Linked DNA regions of Mytilus edulis. The protein of the gene in region 2 interacts with the protein of the main gene of each other region in a pairwise test. Links are inferred from orthologs where the notes say so. Each region holds a gene or a part of one and is shown on either strand. Other genes may lie near its edges.

Evidence for each region. The genes of interacting proteins can lie anywhere in the genome.
Region 1: the proteins of SUMO-conjugating enzyme UBC9-B (region 2) and BTB/POZ domain-containing protein kctd15-like interact in a two-hybrid assay, tested with the Drosophila melanogaster proteins (2 studies listed by BioGRID). The link is inferred for Mytilus edulis from reciprocal best matches to the Drosophila melanogaster genes lwr and twz.

The regions. Positions count from the first base shown.
Region 1 is NC_092348.1:19,366,154-19,377,308, forward strand, and holds the start of BTB/POZ domain-containing protein kctd15-like, read left to right. Parts: upstream 1-6,749; 5' UTR 6,750-6,980; intron 6,981-9,099; 5' UTR 9,100-9,126; coding exon 9,127-9,305; intron 9,306-11,155. UniProt on the Drosophila melanogaster protein: Functions with the transcription factor TfAP-2 to regulate octopamine neuronal signaling pathways that control behaviors such as male aggression, male mating, and the initiation of feeding.
Region 2 is NC_092352.1:32,415,901-32,427,896, forward strand, and holds the start of SUMO-conjugating enzyme UBC9-B, read right to left. Parts: upstream 4,462-11,996; 5' UTR 4,389-4,461; exon of another isoform or gene 4,298-4,388; intron 2,760-4,297; exon of another isoform or gene 2,711-2,759; intron 1,574-2,710; 5' UTR 1,561-1,573; coding exon 1,495-1,560; intron 1,278-1,494; coding exon 1,194-1,277; intron 1-1,193. Other genes in the region: RAD50-interacting protein 1-like, read left to right, coding at 4,531-4,653, 8,236-8,477, 10,162-10,335, 10,759-10,893, 11,733-11,853.

The DNA.
Region 1 (11,155 bases), on a different chromosome or scaffold from region 2:
TTATTTATTTGAGGTCGAGTCGACAATATTCTACTTTCGTTTTTGACCTTGATTCTCTGAACACCACGTGGGCCTTGAAAAATGAACTTCAAAAGATACTGTTTTCCAGATTCTGAACATTATGATCTACTACACTTTCTTTAATTTGACTGATATTATTCCATAACATAAGGGACCGTTCAATATTTACCAGATGGATGGGCCGGTGCATTCTTAATATTGTTTCATTAAAAAAGTTAACGCCCATCCTTTTAAATTCTGAAAAAAAGTTCTTGCCCATCTAAAAATTTCTATAAAAAAAGTCCTTGCCCCTCTAAAACTATAAGACAATCAAAAATGATTGAGGTTCTTTTTCTATTTTAAAGTTTTTAAAATTTTATGTCTTGAAATCGAAGAATAGACTTTGGTGTTAATACAAAATTTAAAATGTGCTAGTTAATTCCATATATATATGTATACATTTAGTTCAAATATGAATCATCTGTTCTACTTTTGGAAAAAGAAATTATGGTCCTTTTAAGCAAATATAGGCAGGCATGTTTTTGAATTTGATGCAGCCTTTTTCGCCTATGAACTAATTCCTAAATTTGACAACTGAACAACAAACTATCAAACAACCTGGCATTCTGTAAGATTAATATATAAATGAGAAAGCTGTATAGTTATATGAAAATCTAAGTTGATTTGAAAAAGTTAAAAAAAAAATTAAAGGTGACCATCCAAATTTGGTCTAAACTTAAAATTGCAGCTTTTTTTTTAAGCTATTAACTAAATCCATAAAAATGAAAGCAAAAAAACAAAGTACTAAACAGCCTGGCATTCAGTAAGATCAATATAAAAATGATATAGCAGTAGAGTTTTATGAAAATGCAAGTTGATTTGAAAAAGTTATAAAAAAAATTAAAGTTGACTATCTGAATTTAGCCTAAAATGAAAATTTGAGCTTTTTTTCTTACCTATTAGTTAAATCCATAAATTTAACAGCAAAACACCTAACTACCAAACAACCTGGTTTCCTATAAGATCAATATATTAATGAGTTAGCTGTAGAGTTTTATGAAAATCCAAGTTGATTTGAAAAAGTTACAAAAAAAATTAAAGTTGACTATCTGAATTTATCCATTACTAAAAATTTGAGCTTTTTTTCTTACCTATTAATTAAATCCACAAATTTAACACCAAAACACCAAACTATCAAACAACTTGGTATTCTATAAGGTCAAAATAATTTATAAGATAGTCCGAACAGAAAATTCTAGCTTTTTTATTCCTTAATTAAATCCTTAAAGTTGACAGAAATGAACCAAGCTACCAGTTTTTGAGACATGTTTTGAGAGCCCGCAAAAGAAATTTCCTACACACCGATAAAATTGATAGAAAATTTTCCTATAAAATATGTTCTGGCCCATCCACTAAATATTTTAAAAAAAGTTCTCGCCCATCCAAATATTTCCACAAAAAAAGTGCTTGCCCCGCCCCATTTTGCACCGGCCCATCCATCTGATAAATATTGAACGGTCCCTAAGATTGTCATCCTATCTGATTGTCTTCACGTTTTAAAAGTAAAAAAGCAAACGAGTTAATGACCCTCGGACGCCTGTACCAAGTCAGGAATATGACAGTTCTTGTCCATTCGTTTTTGATGCGTTTTGTTTTTTGATTTTGCCATGTGATTATGGACTTTCCAAATTGATTTTCCTCTGAGTTCAGTATTTTTGTGATTTTACTTTTTTTTGTTATCATTCAATGACCACCGGAACGTCTCTCTTGTTATCTTTGAAAAGAAACGATGCATTCTGACTTTAAACAGACAACCAATCAGTGACCTGAATTCATGTGAACTATATTTAGCCCAAGGTAAACACTGACTTTTCATCCTTGTTTATCGTGACCGCGACTTTGCGAAAATACGTCTCTCGGCTGCCTGTAAACATTTGAAAAAGATATTATTTTCTTTTTGAATTTATATTTTTGTCAGTGAAGTAGCCGGCACTTGAAGCCACCGCAAACGGCGGATTTCCGCCGGCTACCGGCTTCAATGGAAAGCCCTGCATGCATGTTGTATGTTGTATTTTTTTGTCAATTAAAAACTTTAAAATTGCAATAGTTTTATTAGCATTTAAACACAGCCAGATTTGAATACAAGTTAAGAAATTCCGGTAAAGTCAATGATATCAAACAGATGTACAATGGTATATCAAATTGGGTAATATTGCATTTAGTTTTTATAAAAGATTAAAACTACTATTTTTTGCTTCATATTTGAATCTTTACGCCAATTGCCGTTAAGAAAGTAATCAAAAATTGTTTCCTTTTATTTTTATACACTTTCGGAATTACGAATCTGAATTTTATTTTCAATTAATCTACACAATTTAATTATTGTATCTTTATTCTCATCGTGTATTAAATCTTAGTGTACTAACATCGTGACAGCATACGCTTTCTAATCCTTTCTGTTTATCCTTTCCAAATAACAACATTTATACCTGTGTACGCTTGAACTCACACCTGCGGCTAAATAGCTACAAGGTAAACGAATTGACCTCAAGCCGAGAAATATACAGTGACATTTACAAAATAATATACATGTTCCAGACCATATGAGTATTCGGACCGTACGCGTACGGTCCGGACCGTATACGTATACTCGTACGGTCCGACCATACGCGTACGGTCGGACCGTATGAGTATACGCGTACGGTCCAGCTACCCATGCATGTTTTGAGATCATATGGGTTAAATTTAAACAAAAATTTATCAAAATCTGTCTTATTAGTTATACAAATTGTTATTATTACAATTAGATGGATAAAGTGAATAAGCGAACAATTGAAATTAAATATTTGTTTAACTGTATATCTGAATCATATTTTGTTACTCTGGCACAAGGTGACACTTGTTCAGTACCATAAGGAACGTCATAATTTTTTTTACAATGACGTGTTTTGTTCATGTATGTTTCTTGGCATAAGCATTTTTTTTTTTAAAGTTCCTAATTTTTTTTTAAACAATTGTCCTCCCACATTATGTTTACTTCCGATAACTTCAATTTCAATGAGCATACTGGGCTGCAATTAATGAATTACTGACATGCTAAATACAGGAGATTAACAGATTAAATAAGCGTGATTTGTTTAAATAGATAAAAAATATTAAGTTTTTATTTCATTTATTATTGAACTTTTTATATCAATTTTAGATATAAGTCATGTTGATCTGTTATATACATTTGCATCTAATAATCTTGACAAACTTCTTAATATAAGCTAGACCGTACGCGTACGGTCCAAATACTCATACGGTCTGGAACATACACACTCTGCTCACACATTAGTTGCATTGAAATGATTATCAAAACAATAACGGTAAATAGAACTGAAATATTTTCAGTTCAATATCAGTAACAATGTTCAATAAATATTTTATGAAAAAAAATCTCAACAATAATTAATTAAATTTATTCTAAAACATTTACTAGAGATAATTTTATAGGAGTTTGATTCAATCAATACAAAACGGTATATGCACATTCATTTTCGTTCATTCTTATATATATTGTGGTTAATAACTTCGACCATTCGTCAGCTGTGCGCTTTTAATTACGTATATTGTCGATAAGCTATAAGAGTTAAACAGATTTTATTTTTTCCCAGAATTCAATAAATTGGGCTAATACGTCACGACCCACTCGAGAATTCAACCAAAAAAGTTACAAATACTTGATTTTCTCCGTTATTAGAAGGAATATAAATTTAAAACTTTGCAAATGTGTTTTTTATGTTAAGATGAACATAATTAGATGATAAGTAAAAAATCGCGAACTTTCCCTTTAAAAAAAATAAGACATTCCGCTAACGTCAGAGAGTTTTGTGAATATCAACTATATGGTCATTTTTATATATTTCCTGTTTACAAAATTATGAATTTTTCGAAATACTAAGGATTTTCCTATCACAGGCATAGATGACCTTAGCCGTATTTGGCATAACCTTTTGGAGTTTTGAGTCCCCAATGTTCTTCAACTTTGTACATCTTTGGCTTTATAACTGTTTTGATTTGAGCGTCACTGATGAGTCTTGTGTAGACGAAATGCGCGCGTCTGGCGATCTAAATTATAATCCTGGTACCTTTTTATAACTACTATGAGAGTTTAATGCGTCGACTTTATCATGAATTTGACTACTGTTCCTAAATGTCTAAAGATATTACGGCAGAGCACACCTCAATTGTATACATTTCATGCATGATATGTGCCATTTGGCAATCATCTGTAGAATCCACTACTAGGGTACAGAATGATCAATCGGCCGAGTTGAGACGAATGGGTAATGTGCTAGGTGGGAATATTATTGTTTGGGTGGCTGGTAAAACTACTTTTAACATAAATTTTCAAAAACTGATATAAGTGGTTCAGACATTTGAAACGTATCTTTTTCTTGATAATCCCATTTTCAAAAGTTTGAAATACGTAGTGTCTAAACAATATGTCAAGCTGTTAATTGTCCCAAGTCTAAACAATATGTCAAGCTGTTAATTGTCCCAAGTCTTTAACAAGAATGTGTCCCTAGTACACGTATGCACCATCCGCACTTTCATTTTCTATGTTCAATTGACCGTGATAATGGGGGGAAATCTCTAATTTGGCATTAAATTTAGAAAATCATATTATAAGGAACATGTGTACTAAGTTTCAAGTTGATTGGACTTCAACTTAATCAAAAACTACCTCGACCAAATACTTTAATCTGAAGTGGGACGGACGAACGAACGGACGCACAGACCAGAAACATAATGCCCATAAATGGGGCATAACAATTCGGTTATTAGTAACTAAAATCTTCAAAATCTGCAATGAACATCAAATTAAATCAACAACAACAAAAAACCTTGATCCCACGAATGAGGCTCCTTACCTTGGGATCGGCAGGTAATAATGTTGAGAGGTTAAACTATGTTGTTCTATAGATCTCTCACATTATAAATCTCGATCAGTACTTGAACTAACAGAATATGCATAAATGAACATAAAACGGTATAGGGAAAACCTTAACTTTAAAATAATGTTCAGGTTACCAGATAAAAAAAAAAAAACACAATAACAACTTAAACAATCCTAAAGAATAATATATGTTACCAAGAACTCTATTAACTATTAAAGTACACTAATTGTTTAAGATTTGTTATTTCGGAGCCTTTTATAGATGAGTATGTGATATGGGTTTTGCTCATTGATGAAGGTCGTTCGGTGATCTATAGTTGTTAATTTTTGTGTCATTTGATCTCTTGTGGAGAGTTGTCCCATTTGGTAATCATGACACATCTTATTTTTATATTCAACTACCTAATCTCCTAATAATCCCGTCGTACGGCGTACTTTCTAATATCGTCGGTTGTACTTCATTGTAATGTGCGTACGGCACTGTCATAAATAAAGCTACATGAAGACACGATATGCGCAGAACGATTTCACTTACTGTCGTTTCAGAAGAACAAAACATTTCATCCTGCTGTAAACCACAAATTAAGCGAATTAATTCTGCAAATTTTCTTTCGAAGTATGGAACCATGTAATAAAATATCCTAGAGATCCCTACTCTTGTACACAAATTATTGTTCTGAAATATGAAAAATGTTTGTTTTGGACCGGGTTTTTTTTTGTCCCTTATTGCTACACAGCTATTTAGAATATTTATCAATATGCCCATTATAAGAACGTGTTGACGGAAAATGCGTGAAATTGTTAGCTTTATTATTCATGTTATTAATATGAACGTAACAACTTGAATTGGATGCGAAATGCCTTCTTTTTTTCAGTTCCTAGTTTAATTTAGTTTAAACATATTTTATTTGCATAAGTAGCAAAAGGGATTGGACACAAGTTATAACAACATTAGAGACGTCCTCTCCCAATATAAATATAAACACAGTTCCTGCGAATGGAATTATGATACTTCTACAGTGAAACCCATTTAGGACCATAAATATAGACCAATTTGAATCAATAACATGAATATTCACGACCTCCATTTGTGATCACAAATTTTAAAAATATTTTGGGGGTCATATATGGGCTTCCGTACTTAGTTTACCCAAATGCCTCTATCCATACTTTGATCTGCCACTACATTATGTACAATTAAGAGAGATAATACAACCCATGTATCGATTTACATCAGGTTTGGGTTCATGGTTTTGTTGGAAGGTGTTAAATTATTTTTTCTAATTATTATTATATTTTTTATATTTTTTTTATTTTATTTTTTTTGGGGGGGACCTTTGGATTAATATTTAGTGTTGTTAACCGTATTTATTTTGTTTTCCATTTTGGTGGTGGGAGGGGGGTGGGGGTGGGGGCGAAAAGGGTGAGACTTACGGACGTTTGTTGATTTATCAATGTTGTAACAAATCTGGGTTTATCGACAAGAACATGAACGACATATTTGCGTTACATTGTCAATCAGAAACTGCAACTGTTGCTGATTTTGATACTTTTTATATTTTATAGATATAATTCACAATGAAAACATGAATACCCAGTATATTGTTAGTGTATTCTGAAGAAATAAATGACATATTGTCCTCATTAATAAATTAGTATTTCAAGAAGTTTAACGCACAAGACAGATAAATGAAAGTATAGCCCGGTGACATTTTTGTCGTTTATAAATAACTAATGAATGTATTGTGCCAAACTAAATTGAACACAGCATCTGTTTGGTTGCTATGGATCTCTGCCTGAGGCAAAGTTTCTTCATTTAAACGTGACCTATATGTAACTATGAAGCCTATAGCATAATGTAGAAAAAGCCGCGTTAATACGATTTTGCCTTGGGGTATAATACCCGCCAGTTCAATGCCGACGCCGGTAAAAGCTCATTTAAATGAAGAAGGCGGATCTGAGAAGCTTTAGAAAATTTTAGTGGTATATACATGTTACAATAACAGGGGAAATTTAGTGAAGAAAGCATATATTTCAGGTAAAGTTATATTTGTTATACATTCATGATTCATTGATCTTTTAGTTTATTGGTATTTCATGTTATTGTGTGTAGATAATCCATTACGCTGTGAAACTTGATTAATTAATTATAGCTTATACAATTTTCATATTTCTTTTTTAATAGAAAACAATAAATCAAATCTATCGTTGGTTTAACAGGGGATCATACATTGATAGTAAAATGTTGTATATATATCTCACTGATGCAAAATCACCACTGTCCTTACAACTTTAATAGGAAATCAACAGTTCCCTAATAAGGAACCAAGTTTTCGTTGTTTTATCATCAAAATAACCAAAAGAAATTTTGTTAACGATTATTTACATGTATTTATGTATTTTCAAATCGACCAGTTTATTATTTCCCACAGAGTGTCCCTCTTTGTCAATGAATAAATCTACCCGCAGGCTATTTGTCAAATTATAATGGTATTTATAAATGTCAATATTTAAGTGTTATAGCTTTATTTGTAATTTGAATATTCATGTTTAAACACATAAGTGACAAAAATCTCTTGTTATTGATAATTCTCTAGATAATGATTCAGTTAATAAATATAAAATCATATGTTCTTAAAATATTTCAGATTATTTATTTTCATATCATACTTAAAATTTAAGTCCTTAATTATTGCTCGAAGCATATATACATGTATATGATTAGTACTATAGCTGTTACATCATTGCCTCTTGCCTTTAAATACTTTTACACCTCATGTCCGCTACTCTCGTGTCAGGATTAACATTCCGTCCAATTACCCACAATGGAACATCATCCGTAGAGTGATTCATTCCTGGTATAGACTATACATTCAAACTTTTAGGATGGAAACATTTTTAAAACTGTTTTTTTTTTTTTACTATAGACGAATGTAGTTGAATGCATTGGTGATTTTAATTTAGTAAGAAACGGAAACACAACCATTTAGAACATGTCAGTTTGTAGTGTACAACGCACATTCAACCTGAAAAGATATCCGATTAAGATTTGTTAAGAAATATACTAAGCTGTACAATTCAAATATTCTGGTATGAAATAAATTTATGTTGGCACAAAAATGTTTTGTTTTACTCTCTCTATCTTTCATGAGGGTTCCTTTGCGAGGAATGGTTCGTAATCGTATCCCAAACAAATAAAAGTTATGTCATGGTCAGGTTATCGCGTCTATCTTAACTTTCGTCTTATCATCAGTTCACCTTCTGGATGCCATCAATTCATAATTTACCATGATAACTAGTCCTTACTTGTATCGTAAGAGTTGCACGAAAAACGTTTTCCTCTTACAAATATTTCAATTGCCCTCCAACTCTTCGGTAAATAATTCATGTGATTTGTCAGTTGCAAACTCCAACCTCCACAAAGAAGTGTTTTTGTATAAAGATTAAGTTCTGTAGTTCAGAAGGCAGACTACTGTGATACTTCATATATTATACTATAGTATACAGATGTCGTACGTTCTAAAATTATGGTATCTCTTTTTCCGTTGATCTGACTTTTATGAAATACATAATCACGTAAACTTCTCAAATTTTATAACTATAATAGCGTAATTATTTGGAATCCTTGCAAGGTCTTCATGTCTGTCAAACAGGATTCCTCTGACCTCCATCTTGTTCAACGGAGCAGTGATCAAAGCTTAGATTTCGTGATTATGTCCATATATCTCAGAAACTTGAGCAATTATTATATGCTATTAATGATATATAAAATATGGGATGGTTGTAAGGTGTACATGTCCGTCAGGCAGGTTTCATCTGATCTTGACCTCATTTTCATGGTTCATTGGTCAGTGTTAAATTTTCGGGATTTGGTTCGATTTAGGTACTATAAATATATTAAGTCGACTTCAGGTGGCATACAGTTTGTATGTAATGCTTTAATGCTTGCAAAGAGTTCTTTTACGTTTGGGTTAACTGACCTTTACCTCATTTAACCTGAATAATGGATATTTGTAGTAAACCTTATGATAAAATTCAAGGACGATTACTAAAGAGGACGAGATTAAATCTATCACCACTTTTCTGCATATATGCGGAAATGTGGACACTTTGATATATGAGATATAAATGACATTTTTTTTATATTTTCATTATAGATATTGAATATTGAAACCTAATGGGCGATGACGTCTCCGGTGCCAAACCAGACATCAGCTTCGCCTAGATCACTTCACAATGGCGTTTATTCAAAGATACCGATGTCGGGAGTGCCATGTCCCGCCACCCCAACACGATATACAGCACCTGTACATATAGATGTGGGAGGTGTCATCTACACAGCATCTCTAGAGACACTCACGAGGTAAGGTGGCAGATAATATCAAAATAAGAAGAAGTGGTATGATTGCAAATGAGACAATTCCCCATCAAAATCACAATTTGTAAAAGTAAACCATTATAGGTCAAAGTCCGGGGTCAAAGTACGGTCTTCAACACGGAGCCTTGGCTCGTACTGACCATGAAGTATAAACGGCCCCAAAAATAACTAATGTAAAACAATTCAAACGGGAAAACCAACGATCTCATCTACATAAAAAACGATAAGTTCATTTTGAACAGTCCAGACGGTTCTATAACCCTCACAGTCATTTGTTTCATCCGATGATCAAAACCTCCATCCTATTGTTTCCACAAAAGAAGAAGGAGAGGCCTTTGTCATTGCTGGAAACATGTGACAGTGATATTCTTCCTGTAAGATTCACTAGTCTATCCCTAATAAAGAAACAAGTAAAGAGTATACAGACGTTAAACGGTTCACATGATATACAGTCACGGAAGCTTTTGGATAAAACTTACATTTTGCAATTGAATTCATTGCAAAAAAGTTAAACAAAAACAAAATAGTCATAATTTAGAAGAAAAAACAACAGATGATGCTGGTACACAGGGAATAATAATCAGCACCAGCAGGCCATGTGTCGTTTATCTTAGCATCGATATTGTAACCGTAGAACTGAGGTTACGAAGATATGGCTCTTGGGGATGCATTATTTAGTACGTGTTTCTTAAATCTAAAAGTACGATGACTATTGTCAAACTTGGAGAATGAAAATTTCATAATACCTGCAATTTATATAACTGTGAAATATGCTATAAAATGTAAAAACAGGCCACTGATGCTATCCTTAATCGATAGATTTTTTCAGATATGAAAGACAAATAATTACCAGATCACAAGTTGGATTTCAAATAAAAACCTATATTGAAAACAACTCTTATGCAGTTTTTGTTTATGATTATGTTAATGTGTATGTGATGTATAAAGAAGCCTCTGAGTTATAGTAAAGTCTGGTAATAAGAAGCATCATCGGCATGTTCTGACCCTTTTCTTCTTAAGATACGAAAATTGATCAACTTTTAACGATTTATTTTTGCAGCACATGTCTTAGGAATTTTTTAGTTAATAATATCTTACCCTCCCTTTTTTTGTTAATTTTTAATTTTGATCATTTTATACAAGCTGTTTTATATATTAATCCGATAAGAATTTTTAATGTTGTCAGTGCAAGTGTGGTTATGTTATTATGTTAATTGGCTAATATTAGATTTACCTTAACATAATGCAGTCACACCCTTCTTTCTTAACACATAAAACATAACTTATTATTTGAGTCGAGCAAGCAGTGTAAAGTTATCCCTAAAACTTTTTAAAGTGCTCCACTTAAAAAAAATATATATACCTTTTCCTTTAATTTGTACTGAATTAACGGAAGAAAAAAAATATAGACAAATGCAGAAAACATTCATCTTATAGTTGTCACAATAGAAAATATACATATAATTTCATAACAGAATCATGGAGAGGGTGGTATACTTCATTCACAATGTTTGTCCATTCGTGTGTTCGTCTGTCTGTCTATCTATTCGTTCGTCAGACCGTTACATTCTATTACATTAAGCAGCGTTTATAAATTTGAATGAGTTGGTGCTTGGTCAAGAACTTTACTCTGTTCAGTTATTTTTTTTTACCAGACAGTCATGAACTCACCGTTTGATGTCCCCTTGATTTTTTTTTATACAAAATGGCCATGTATGTTTTCGTCTATGCATCAGTCGTCAAGTGAACGAATGCGAGTATATAATTTACGACAGCAGTATTATGTAACTTTTTTTGTTTCTTAAACATTAATCTACCACGTTTCTTATTAAAAG
Region 2 (11,996 bases):
TTTGGACCCTTCATAGCTTGCTGTTCGGTGTGAGCCAAGGTTCCGTGTTGAAGGCCGTACCTTGAACTATAATGGTTTACTTTTTTAAATTGTTACTTGGATGGAGAGTTGTCTCATTAACACTCATACCACATCTTCCTATATCTATTGACACATCTGTGTCATCTCTGTTATCGTTCACTAAAATATCGTTATTTGAACTTGATGGACCAGCAATAGGTTGTAATTCAGGTTGGATTGGTTGGTCCGACATCTCTTCTGGATCAGGATCTGTTACTTTAAGGTGACCCTTTGCCTCTACATCAACCCTTACCACCACGGCCACGTGTTCTAGTAGATTTTGGTGGCATGACTGTATTGTTTTTAAGAAATCTACGTATTAATCAGAAATAGAAGGAATGGAACTGTATATATGAAACACCATGTTGACGTTATTGCTGAGAACTGAGAGCGTAGTAAGATTGCGGTATAAACGTATTATAATCGTGGTAGAGCATGCCACAATCGCAGTAGAAGCGTGGTGCAATCGGATAACTCGTGATATGGTCGTAGTGGGAACGTGATGAGCGTCGAAAGATCTTGATAAGTGTAGTGAGGTTGCAGGATAAGCGCAATGAGAACGTGGTATAATCGTAGCGGGATTGTTGTAGAAGGGTAATGAGGATGTAGTAGCATTGTGAAAGCAACGAAAAATTACATTTTTATGCCGCTCATACCGCGACCTCACCACAATCTGAATTTATTTTAGATCGCGGTGAGCGTGGTTCGATCGTTGTCTAGTGGGACTGGGGATTTAGGTACAATAATGAGCTGGTTTTTAAACAAGGTAGGTAACAAGGTTTCAGTCCTCAGGAATACATTTAATACAACAAAGAATCATTATTCTGACCAGTCATAGCTCCTACTCCTAAATGCAATGTACTAAGCATAAAAGCTTCAAATATCAATTTTCAACTACATGTATTTGGTTTGACCTAGTCTGGGTTAGAAAGATAAAACTAGTAAGCATATTGACAAAACTAAAAAAAAGTACTTGAAAAATGCTTTACAGTTCATCTGTGCATATTTACATATATATATATATATATATACAAGAGTCATGAGAGTATTGGGAACCAAATTTCAGTGTTTATATATTTAGTGGTTATCCTGGCTTCCAATCTTTCCAAAAAATATATGAAATCATTATTTACCCCTTTCTTGCCTGGTATTGCACATTCCCAATTCAATAAATTTAATGTTCCATCTGGATTTTTGGTTGGTCTGGCTACAAAACCCTGCAAAGGAAAATAATATAACAACATACTCTCCCTCAAAATAAATTAAATCCTACAGAATATTTGTTACAGGAATATTAAAATGACAAATACAGTGCACTTTTTTATTTACAATACTTCTTGAACAATACAACAAGGAACTCAATGACATTAATGTAATTCTATGAAATAATTTTCTTGTTTTTAGTCTATAATAATATATAATAGTTTGACTTACAAATGGGTGATCTTTCCTCCAAGCTTTTCTTTCTTCACTCAGTCTTCCTACAGCTATGCCAGACATCTTATTAGTTCAACTGCAAAAGTAAAATACATACAAATTTATTGATAAATATTGAAATTGGTTACATGAATTACAAATTTTCCTTCATGTTGTGGATGTAGGTAAATCATGAATTTGAATGGTCAACAGAGAACAAATTTTCTTTAGTCTTTTCGGTTGAATTTGGCAGCTTTGTTCTTTGGCCACTGAACTGTATTTCCCATTAGCAGTTGGAAAAAATTTCTAACAAGTTGAAGTTTGATTTGATAAAACAAATTGCTATTCGTTCAAGTCACAGTAATAAGTTTGTTCACTCATCAAAAGAAGACATAAATAAACAAGTAGCTTTTCTACTAAAAGAAATGCACCTGAACATAATTGCCTGTTTGGTTTGAAAGATCGGAGAATTATAATATAAAGATGTGTAAATCATTCCTCATAAACATAATACATTGTACATGTAGAAAACATCTATAGATCCTAAACATAACTATATGTAGACTACCATTAGTTTGAGCAAATTTGTGTTTCAAGTAATTTATGAAAGAAAACATTACAACATGCAAAATAGGAGCCAACCACAGGATGTTCCATTTTGAGGGCACTGTTTTAGAAATTTGTATACTTTAAACAGGTGATCAAATTGTAAACACTTGAAAAGCCCTAAACCTTATTTTGAGAAATGTATTCTAACCAACCACATACAGGTAGTCATTAATAAATAACTTATATGCAACATCAAACATAAAACAAATTGTATTGTTTTACCACAAGGTTTTAATTAATATAAAGCCAAAGAATATCATTCAGTCTCTATAAATAGTTACCCAGTTTCACTCCTAAAAGGTCCTTTTGTATTTCTTTATTTTATTTTATTTTTATTCCTATTTCTACATGTCTACTGTTAAAACAATTTAGTATATTTGTTTATTTCTCCTTTGAAATTATTATGTGTAGTCCATAAGATTAAAAGTAATTCTATTTGCAGTTATAAATTATTGAAGAAATGGAATAGTTTTAAATAAATATTATCGTTATTTATCTGTACAATTTTTTTTTTTATAGAAATTTTTATTCAACGAAAGAAAATGAAAGTTTAAATTAAAAGAAAATGCCCTTTTTGTTTCTTTTTAACCATATATTAAAATAGAACATCTAAAGCAAACTCTACCTTTTTTCTCTTCAAATATCAACCACCTTCAACAGGAACCCTAACATGCGTCTCTAATTTAAAAAGTAAAGGTATGAGATACTTATATTAGAGTCTGACTTTTATTACTCCAACAAAGTCTTAAAAGATTAAATACTTAGAAACTCCAAAATGGATTTTAATTCTTCTTTATAAACCTCTTTTAAGTATAAACATTACTTTTTCTAAAGTTTTGGATAATGTTTTATATCATGATCAATTAGTAAAATATAACTCATTAGCTGCCAAATAATACAACTTGAATGAAGAAAAAAATATTCAAGTCAAATGTTTATAATAATTGGTTTATTAATTAAAGCAATGGCTTTAATTATCACCATTCACAAAAATAGTGTCTCATTTTTTTTTAACATGCCTCCAGCTATTCAATATAATGTTTATATTGCAGGGTACAAAACAAAATTGTTTTCCTTTTATTTTTGGACATGTTGGAAATCTATATAAATTCCTTCAAAAACATCTTCAAAAATAGGGATGCAATTTTGGAAAGGTACCAGTCAGTACTCCCTTTAATCACAAATGTTAAAGCTAAGTCAAACTGTTTATGATTTTGTAAAACTTTACTTTTCAGCAAAAATGACCTTGACAAGTTTTGTCAATTACTAATACATGTATGTGTTTATACAATTTAAGCATAATTACATTTACATTTACATCCTTAACTATTAAGATTATAACACAAAATTTGTTTATATAACAATAATCAGCCTTTTATATCTCTACCAGTGAGGGTGGCAGGTGCCCTTTAGATGTTTTTACAACAATGAAATGTTCAAAATGGCTGGATCCACCCCAGAGCAGGGATAGCAGTATAGGTCACTGGTGCTGTGTGCAAAAAATTAATGTCTCATGATTCCATTTCTTTGGATGACACTTTGGTGAAAAATTAAACTACATTGTAACAGTAATTTCTTTTTTATATGACAAAATTATTGGAAAACAATTGATTTTTTTACCAACAGCAAATTGGAAGCATGATTTTACTTCAAATTACAGTTTCAATTTTGGGAAAAAGTCACACAGACTAGTCACTTCTTAGTTATCTTGTCAAAAGATTAAGTAACTCAGAGAAGTAAATTATTTGGTCTATAAAAATAGACTAGTCGGTAGTCTAATAAGAATCTTCTTCCTTATAATTGAGTTTTGTTTCTAACAGTCTACAGTAAGCTTAAACTCTGTGGGCCTACCTATGGTCACATTACAAATCTAGTCCCCTTTGGTTACATACAGTATTTACAATAAAACCCAATTGATAAGGTTAAAATTATTAACAATCATTGAACAATTTGAGTCTGGGATGCAGGATGGGGCCTTAACCAGGAAAAAGGGATTTAGTCTGAAGGGGTTGTGGTAATTCAAATGTTTATCATTCAGCTTTGTTTTCAATAGCATGTCATTGAAATAGTTACTCCACGGATTAGAAAGAATAACTTGGATATCCTGTTTCCATTTAGGCAAAGAACCATTCATGATTTTCTTGTTTTAACGAAGATAACACGAAAAAATAGAATCTATTCAAAGATAACAGTTGTATATATAAAATCGTACAAATATGTGAGGGTACTTTTACAGTTTTATGTGTCATTCAAAAGAGTAAATGGTTTTAAAGAAAAATCCTTTCTCATTTCACGAAACTTACCGCTGGAAAAACTATGTCACGTGAACAGATCAATTAGACGCTTTACATTAATCTAACACCTTCGCGTCAAGCGTTTGTACGATGTATGTCAACTATTTTTTTCTAAGGGAAGCAACTATGTAAACAATCCCTTTCTTCACAGATGGCAAAATCAGAGAAGAATGTCCACGTTACAGAATACTTGAACCAAAATATAAAGACTCTATCAGATTTAAAAGATGTTCATAAAAATATAAAAGAAACTGTTGAGTCATTAGGACAACAAGTAATTAATGCCTTAAGTCATAGGAACAGTACACATGAATGAATCCATGACAAATCGCCCCACTGGCAAATCGCGAGTTTGTGAAAAAGTGTGGCGATTTGGTGTTGGGCGTTTTGCTAGTGTGGCGATTTGTCCTGCTTCCCACAGGAATGAGGATGAGCAATTTCATTTTGCTCTGTTTTTGAACTGTTGAAACATTTATGAGGGTAGTAATGGGGGTACCTTCATGACGTATATCATCGTGTAATGTGTTTTCGTACTAATAACAATTTTCACTGCTTACGGTTTTTACTGTTGAGTTTTTATTTAGGTGTTTACTCAAATTTAAAAAGCATGTCCTGTAGATTGATTTTAGGTATCTAGTTTTTTTGTCAATGATTTCTACGATTTTTTACTGTTTCCGATTACTTTGCGATTTTTGTATGTCAAAAAAACGGCGTCATATGTTTTCGTATGAAATAAAAATTGGATCAGTACACGGACAGGAAATGACTACAAAATCCGGAAATACATTTTTTCTAAAGTCGTGGTTCGGGTGATCGCTTAAATCTTAAAAAAAGTTATTAAATACTTTTCAGTACAAAAAATTACTAGTAAAAAGTGTAAGGTTGGTGTTTCGTGTGATGAAATTTTTACGGATTTTGATTAATTTCAGATTGGCACCTGGTTTGTACAAAATACATTATTTTTTCTAAAATAAAATGCAGTTTTCAAAATTTATGATTAAATATAAAAAGTTAAGACTGTTTTCATCTTCATGTATCAAGGATGTATAAAAAAAATTGTCAATGAAATATTGAATAGTTAGATTTTGAACAACCATTTTATATAAGAACCCTGCTAATTTTAACTCGATGGTTTGTAATTAAAACGGCCAAAAAAACACATGACAGTCATACGTCTTGAAGATCCGGTGTCTGACTTGCAAAAAACATATCTGGACTTTATTTTAACCCTTCAGAATTTTTTTCCACAACTATTCTAGTGATGCGTATTTTTGACATTAAATAAAAATGGCTAAATAGGTCAGTTTTATTTAATTTGTTCTAACGTCTTTAAAAAGCGACGTTGAATATGTTTTAAATATATCAAGTTGTAGTGGTGTTGTTGTTCTAAATATAGAAACAGAAAAACATGCCACAATGTACGCGTATGCAGTCGAAACCGACGAAATGTGGTTGATACGAAAACATATGACATACGAAAACATATGACACGACGATAATGGTAAAAATTCTTGCCAAATGACGTTAACAGTAATTTTTAGTGCATGACGATTAATTGTACACTTTCTTTTAGACGATAAAATTATCTGAATTTGACGAATCAAGCTATTTTTTTTCCAAAAATAATGGTGATGATAACTATTTGAGTCTTTAGTCTTTATGAAGCAGTCAGGGGACTTACTTAAATAAGTGATTTTCTAAATCACTGATTCAAGTAACATTATTTCCATAAAGGTTGGAAGTTAGAGTTGTCTTTCTTTAATAATCACCTATTTAAGTAGTACAAATTAATCACTAGAAGAAGTGATTTAATTTTATTGTAGCTTTAAATATAGAATACTAATGATCCAGGGACTAATTATGTTTCTAAACTTATCAGAACCAACATCTGTGTTGTCTAGGATGACCAGGTCATTTCAGGTGATGACCTTGTACTGAATCTAGGATAATGACATAAAAATCACTTGTTTAAGTATCAGACCTCAATTTCCTTCAAAAAAATCACTTCTTTAAGTATCATTCTTATAATAACCCCCACTAATTTCAACATCCCCGAACAGTGAAATTTTTATCGCGAACAGTAGAATTTTATTACATAATGATAATCTGAAAGATAAAACCTTGAACTTCACAGGAAAAATACTCCCACTGCTGGGAAAAATCTTTTAAGAAAATATCAGTTCATTATGTAAAGCCATTATTATAGCATTTTTTCAACTAAAATAGAATTTTCAGCTAAATGATAGCATCAAAGGCATAAACCTTTCTACTTAAAAGAAGCAAAAAGTTCATTTTTTTTAATTTTACTAATTTATAAAAAGATATTTTTTAAACCTATGTGTTTAAAATTTTGAAAAAACTACAAAATCCCAATTTGTGACAAAACCTCGAATTTGCTACTCAAATAAGTGATTTAAAAATCACTTATTTCAGTACATTGTAAGTCCCCTGACTGTTGAGACATCTGACGAATCACAGTAAAATTAAACCAATTTGACACTATAGGTAGTAAAAAATTACCGCTTGATGCCTGTCAGTAAAGGGCATATAATTTACATCCCTCATTTATGCCTAATTTCTATACATGTCTACTGTGCACATACATTTGTAGATTACTAATATTATAGTTGTATATTTTGTGAGAGTTTAATGAAATGAAGGTTTAAATAACCAAATTGAGGTTTCCACAGGGACTTGTCAGTGTCTTCAAGACGAAGTGTAGTATAAAAAATGACCTTCCATTAGTGGCAGAACCAGGGGTTGTAGAAATTCCTTGTTCAAATTACATATTTAAGGTAAAAAAGTGCGGACTATACACAACCAATTACGGTAATGCATATTTTATCTACAAAATCTAATATTACTGCAACAATTCTTTTATTTTTCTTAATAATAATATTTTTAAAAATGAAGTGGCGACTTGTCTTGGTCCCGAATTGTCGAAAACTGATGCCAAAATTACTTCAGACTTTGGTGTCAAAATGTCTTGTTACTGGGTTGTAACCACCCCCTGTTTTAGGATCAATGCTTTTGAATAGGGACATGATAATGATGATATTGTTGACCCCCCCCCCCCTCCTTTTCAAAATGACTGGACTGCCCTCAAATTTTTGTCCAAACAGTAAATGTACAAAATGTATATTCATTATTGTCACAATAGACCTTTAAACTTTGGATGTCAAACAACGATTGCAGTTTCATTCTTGCATCTGTAGATTAAAATTATTTCTTTTATGTTGTCAAATTTTTATAGGAAGGAATGCCTGATGCTTCATATACGTGTATTTGTCAGCTTTAACAAATTACTTCTCTTCCAAGACACTTATATTTTGACGTATTTAAAAGGAGATGATGCCTGATGCAACAGATATTTTGGCATCAGATATTTTGTAATATGACGTCAAAATTTTACAGGAACCTGTGTCATGTCCAATAATGGAGGACAAATAGCCATAAGTTGTATTACAGTTCTTCCCTGATTATTGCGGAGTTTGCATTGCTAAAGTTTTATAGTGGCCTGTGTTATTTTGTGTGAAATGTTTGTCCTTTCAGGCTTTTTTTCTTATTGCTGCATTAATCATGTTAATGCTGCATGCTCTCTGTCCTGCTTAATCTGTAACCCATCAATTGATGAATCATTTTTTTTCAACAACCAAAGACTAACAGAAATGTGAACCCTATTAAATCATTGTAATATTAGGCTAAAAGTGATTGGTATAATCGGTGCAAAAAACTTAGGCCACTGACTTTCTGAGACATTGTGTTTACAAATGTTTGATAATGCAAAAATCTCTACTCTTAAACTAAGCATCCAAGTTAATTTCTGAATGTCATCAAAAAAGCTTTTATTTTTCAGTTACATGAAGCCAGTTCAAGTTTGCCTACTGAGATAGACTATGCTACACAAGGTGCTAATGATACACAGACTGAGGTGACAAACATACAACACCGTAAAGATAACCTTCATCATCAGGTCGTGGAACATGTTAGAAATCAACAGGATGTTTGTAAAGAACTGGAAAAAGTTACGACAGAAATTCAACAGTATCAGTATTATCTGGCATACCTACAGCTGATAGAAGAGGTTGACAAAATGAGGTCAGTTATACTACAGAGATTTTTAATTGTCATCTAACATGTATAAAGTATCCATGATATAACAGTGTATAACCTATAAAGAGTTGAAAATAGAATGTCAAGTGAAATGACACCTTCATGCGGTACAAGCTGGTAGAGTAATTAGGATGGATAAAACCTCTGCTATCATTTCTTTTTGCACCATGTTATGCCTGCATACAATAGCACCACAGTATATTATTTGACAGTATGTCTGTTATCCCCTCCTGTAATAAATTTTGGTTCAACTTGTTGCTTCAGTTTAACATATTTATTTTAACCTATAGTTATCAATGAAGTGCCGTAATGGTCTCATCAACTTAGAAATGAAAACTCTTGTTTATTATAAAAAGATAATATATGAATAACTAAAAAAGTAATAGAGAACAAAAATTTAATTCATATAAAGCATTTAAGTTTAACTATCATATATGTTGTATTTATATTTTAGTTCTGATATTCAGACAGCTATGCAGAAAGATGTAATGAGAAGTGCTGTAGAAAATTTTCAGACCATGACACATGTCTTATTGTCAAATATTTTATATTTTAGTTCTGACATTCAGACGGCTACATTAACAGATGTCATGAGTAATGCTGTGGAAAGTTTTCAGACCATGACGCATGTCTTATTGTCACATATTTTATATTTAAGTTCTGACATTCATACGGCTACGTTAACAGATGTAATGACCAATGCTGTGGTTTTTAGGACCATGACACATGTCTTATTGTCATATATTTTATATTTTAGTTCAGATATTCAGACGGCTATGTTAACAGATGTAATGACTAATGCTGTTGAAAGTTTTCAGACCATGACACATGTCTTATTGTCAAATATTTTATATTTTAGTTCTGACATTCAGACGGCTACATTAACAGATGTCATGAGTAATGCTGTGGAAAGTTTTCAGACCATGACACATGTCTTATTGTCACATATTTTATATTTAAGTTCTGACATTCATACGGCTACGTTAACAGATGTAATGACCAATGCTGTGGTTTTTAGGACCATGACACATGTCTTATTGTCATATATTTTATATTTTAGTTCAGATATTCAGACGGCTATGTTAACAGATGTAATGACTAATGCTGTTGAAAGTTTTCAGACCATGACACATGTCTTATTGTCAAATATTTTATATTTTAGTTCTGACATTCAGACGGCTACATTAACAGATGTCATGAGTAATGCTGTGGAAAGTTTTCAGACCATGACACATGTCTTATTGTCACATATTTTATATTTAAGTTCTGACATTCATACGGCTACGTTAACAGATGTAATGACCAATGCTGTGGTTTTTAGGACCATGACACATGTCTTATTGTCATATATTTTATATTTTAGTTCAGATATTCAGACGGCTATGTTAACAGATGTAATGACTAATGCTGTTGAAAGTTTTCAGACCATGACACATGTCTTATTGTCATATATTTTATATTTCAGTTCAGATATTCAGACGGCTATATTAACAGATGTCATTAGTAATGCTGTGGAAAGTTTTCAGACCATGACACATGTCATATTGTCATATATTTTATATTTTAGTTCAGATATTCAGACGGCTATGTTGACAGATGTCATGACTAATGCTGTTGAAAGTTTTCAGACCATGACACATGTCGTATTGTCATATATTTTATATTTTAGTTCAGATATTCAGACGGCTATGTTGACAGATGTCATGAGTAATGCTGTGGAAAGTTTTCAGACCATGACTCATGTTTATCATAAACACAGTGGATCCCATTGTAAACATCTCCTCAAATTCATCAAAGACACAATTCTATTCTGGTATAAGATACTTCATGAAAAACTTGCAAGGTACAATATATACTATTTGGTAGTTCTTAACAATTTATGTAGATCATGATGATTAAAGTATAATTTATCTGATTGATAAAGATGTTTTTCTACCACTAGTTAAAGTTATTTTAAAGTTGAATTAAATATTAATTGCTTGTTGCCTTTCTCACAATGATACATGTAATTGTGAAAGACATAATCAGAGTGCAAATAAAAAATTATTGGTCCTTTTAGTTCGTACATTGTATTAACAAGAGTCATGATGAACATTTTGACTGCATTTGAAAAATCAGGTCCTATTGGGTTTATACCTTAATAATGCAAAATAAATAAGCACAGCAAGTTAAACAAAAAAATACAAAGTCATACACATGTGATAGTATGAAATTGGGAGAAGTGGACTCATAGATTGTTACTATCATGATACCATCTTTTTTGCAGTGATTTTGAAGAAACATTGAAGTCAGTTGGTTGGCCAATGATTGGGAATACAGTTAAATCTCCACCAGTACACAGCAGTCAACATTATGAATTGCTGGAGAAACTATTTATGTCACTTTTGGCTATACAGCTTCCGTATCCTTATTTATTTCAGTATGACAAAGTAATTAAAAGTAAAACAAGAATGTGTCCATAGTACACGGATGCCCTATCGTAGGTGGGGCATAAAAAGTGAATTTAAATGAAGATTATATAGCTAATCAAACTTATTTTATTTGGTTTCAATATTTATGTGTTTCTTTTGTTCGTCCTTAAGTTCTTGCTTCCCAAAATTTGTTTTCTGTTCTCTTAACTTTAGTTTACTCAACAAATATCATGAAACTTATACACAATGCTAATTACTTCATAGTCAAGTTTGAATTTAGGTGGCATAACTTTTACCATTCTAGAGCTATGGCCCTTTGCAAATTGAAAAATTGCTGAATTTTTTGTTTCCGTTCTCTAACCTAAGTTTGTCTCAATCATATGTCATAAAACTTATATACAATGCCTTTACCATAAAATTCAAATCTACTCTGAATTTGGTTGGCATTACTTTTATCGTTCATGGGTTATAACGCTTTATAATTTATGTGCATGAGGGAGCATTATATGTGTCCCATGGACACATTCTATATTTTTTGATTTTTGACTTGGTTCCTGTGTATCTTTTTAGCAACTATTGTGAAGAACTGGTCATATAAATCTAAAAATGTGGGGGCCAATAATGTATCAGAGAGGTTTACAACAAGATATTTTCTACTCTTCAGAAGATAAATTTATAAAAAGCATATGTATCATAATATCTTGATCTTCTTTCTGATATCATTCTTGTTCGTATTCGGTATGTGTGGTTTGATATTGATATTGCTTTTATTGTTTAAACTAAGAAAGAGCAGGTCAAAGTCCAAGAAGTTGTCCTTAACATAGAATAGTCAGTCTGTATCAGATAAACAAGATGAGCTTCTACTTCCGTTACAACTAATGGTGCTACCATTGGAGAAAAGATTTAAATATCATTTCTATGGCAACAGAAAAACAAATAACTTGGAAAAGGTGAGCTATTATGATAAATAAAAGTATGAATTGGAAATCACAAATTTGCAAAAAAGTTACATTTTTAAAGAATATATTTTGTCATCCTTTGTCTGCAGAGTCTAGCTTTCCTTGAGCTTGATTCTGAAGATTAAACATTATTC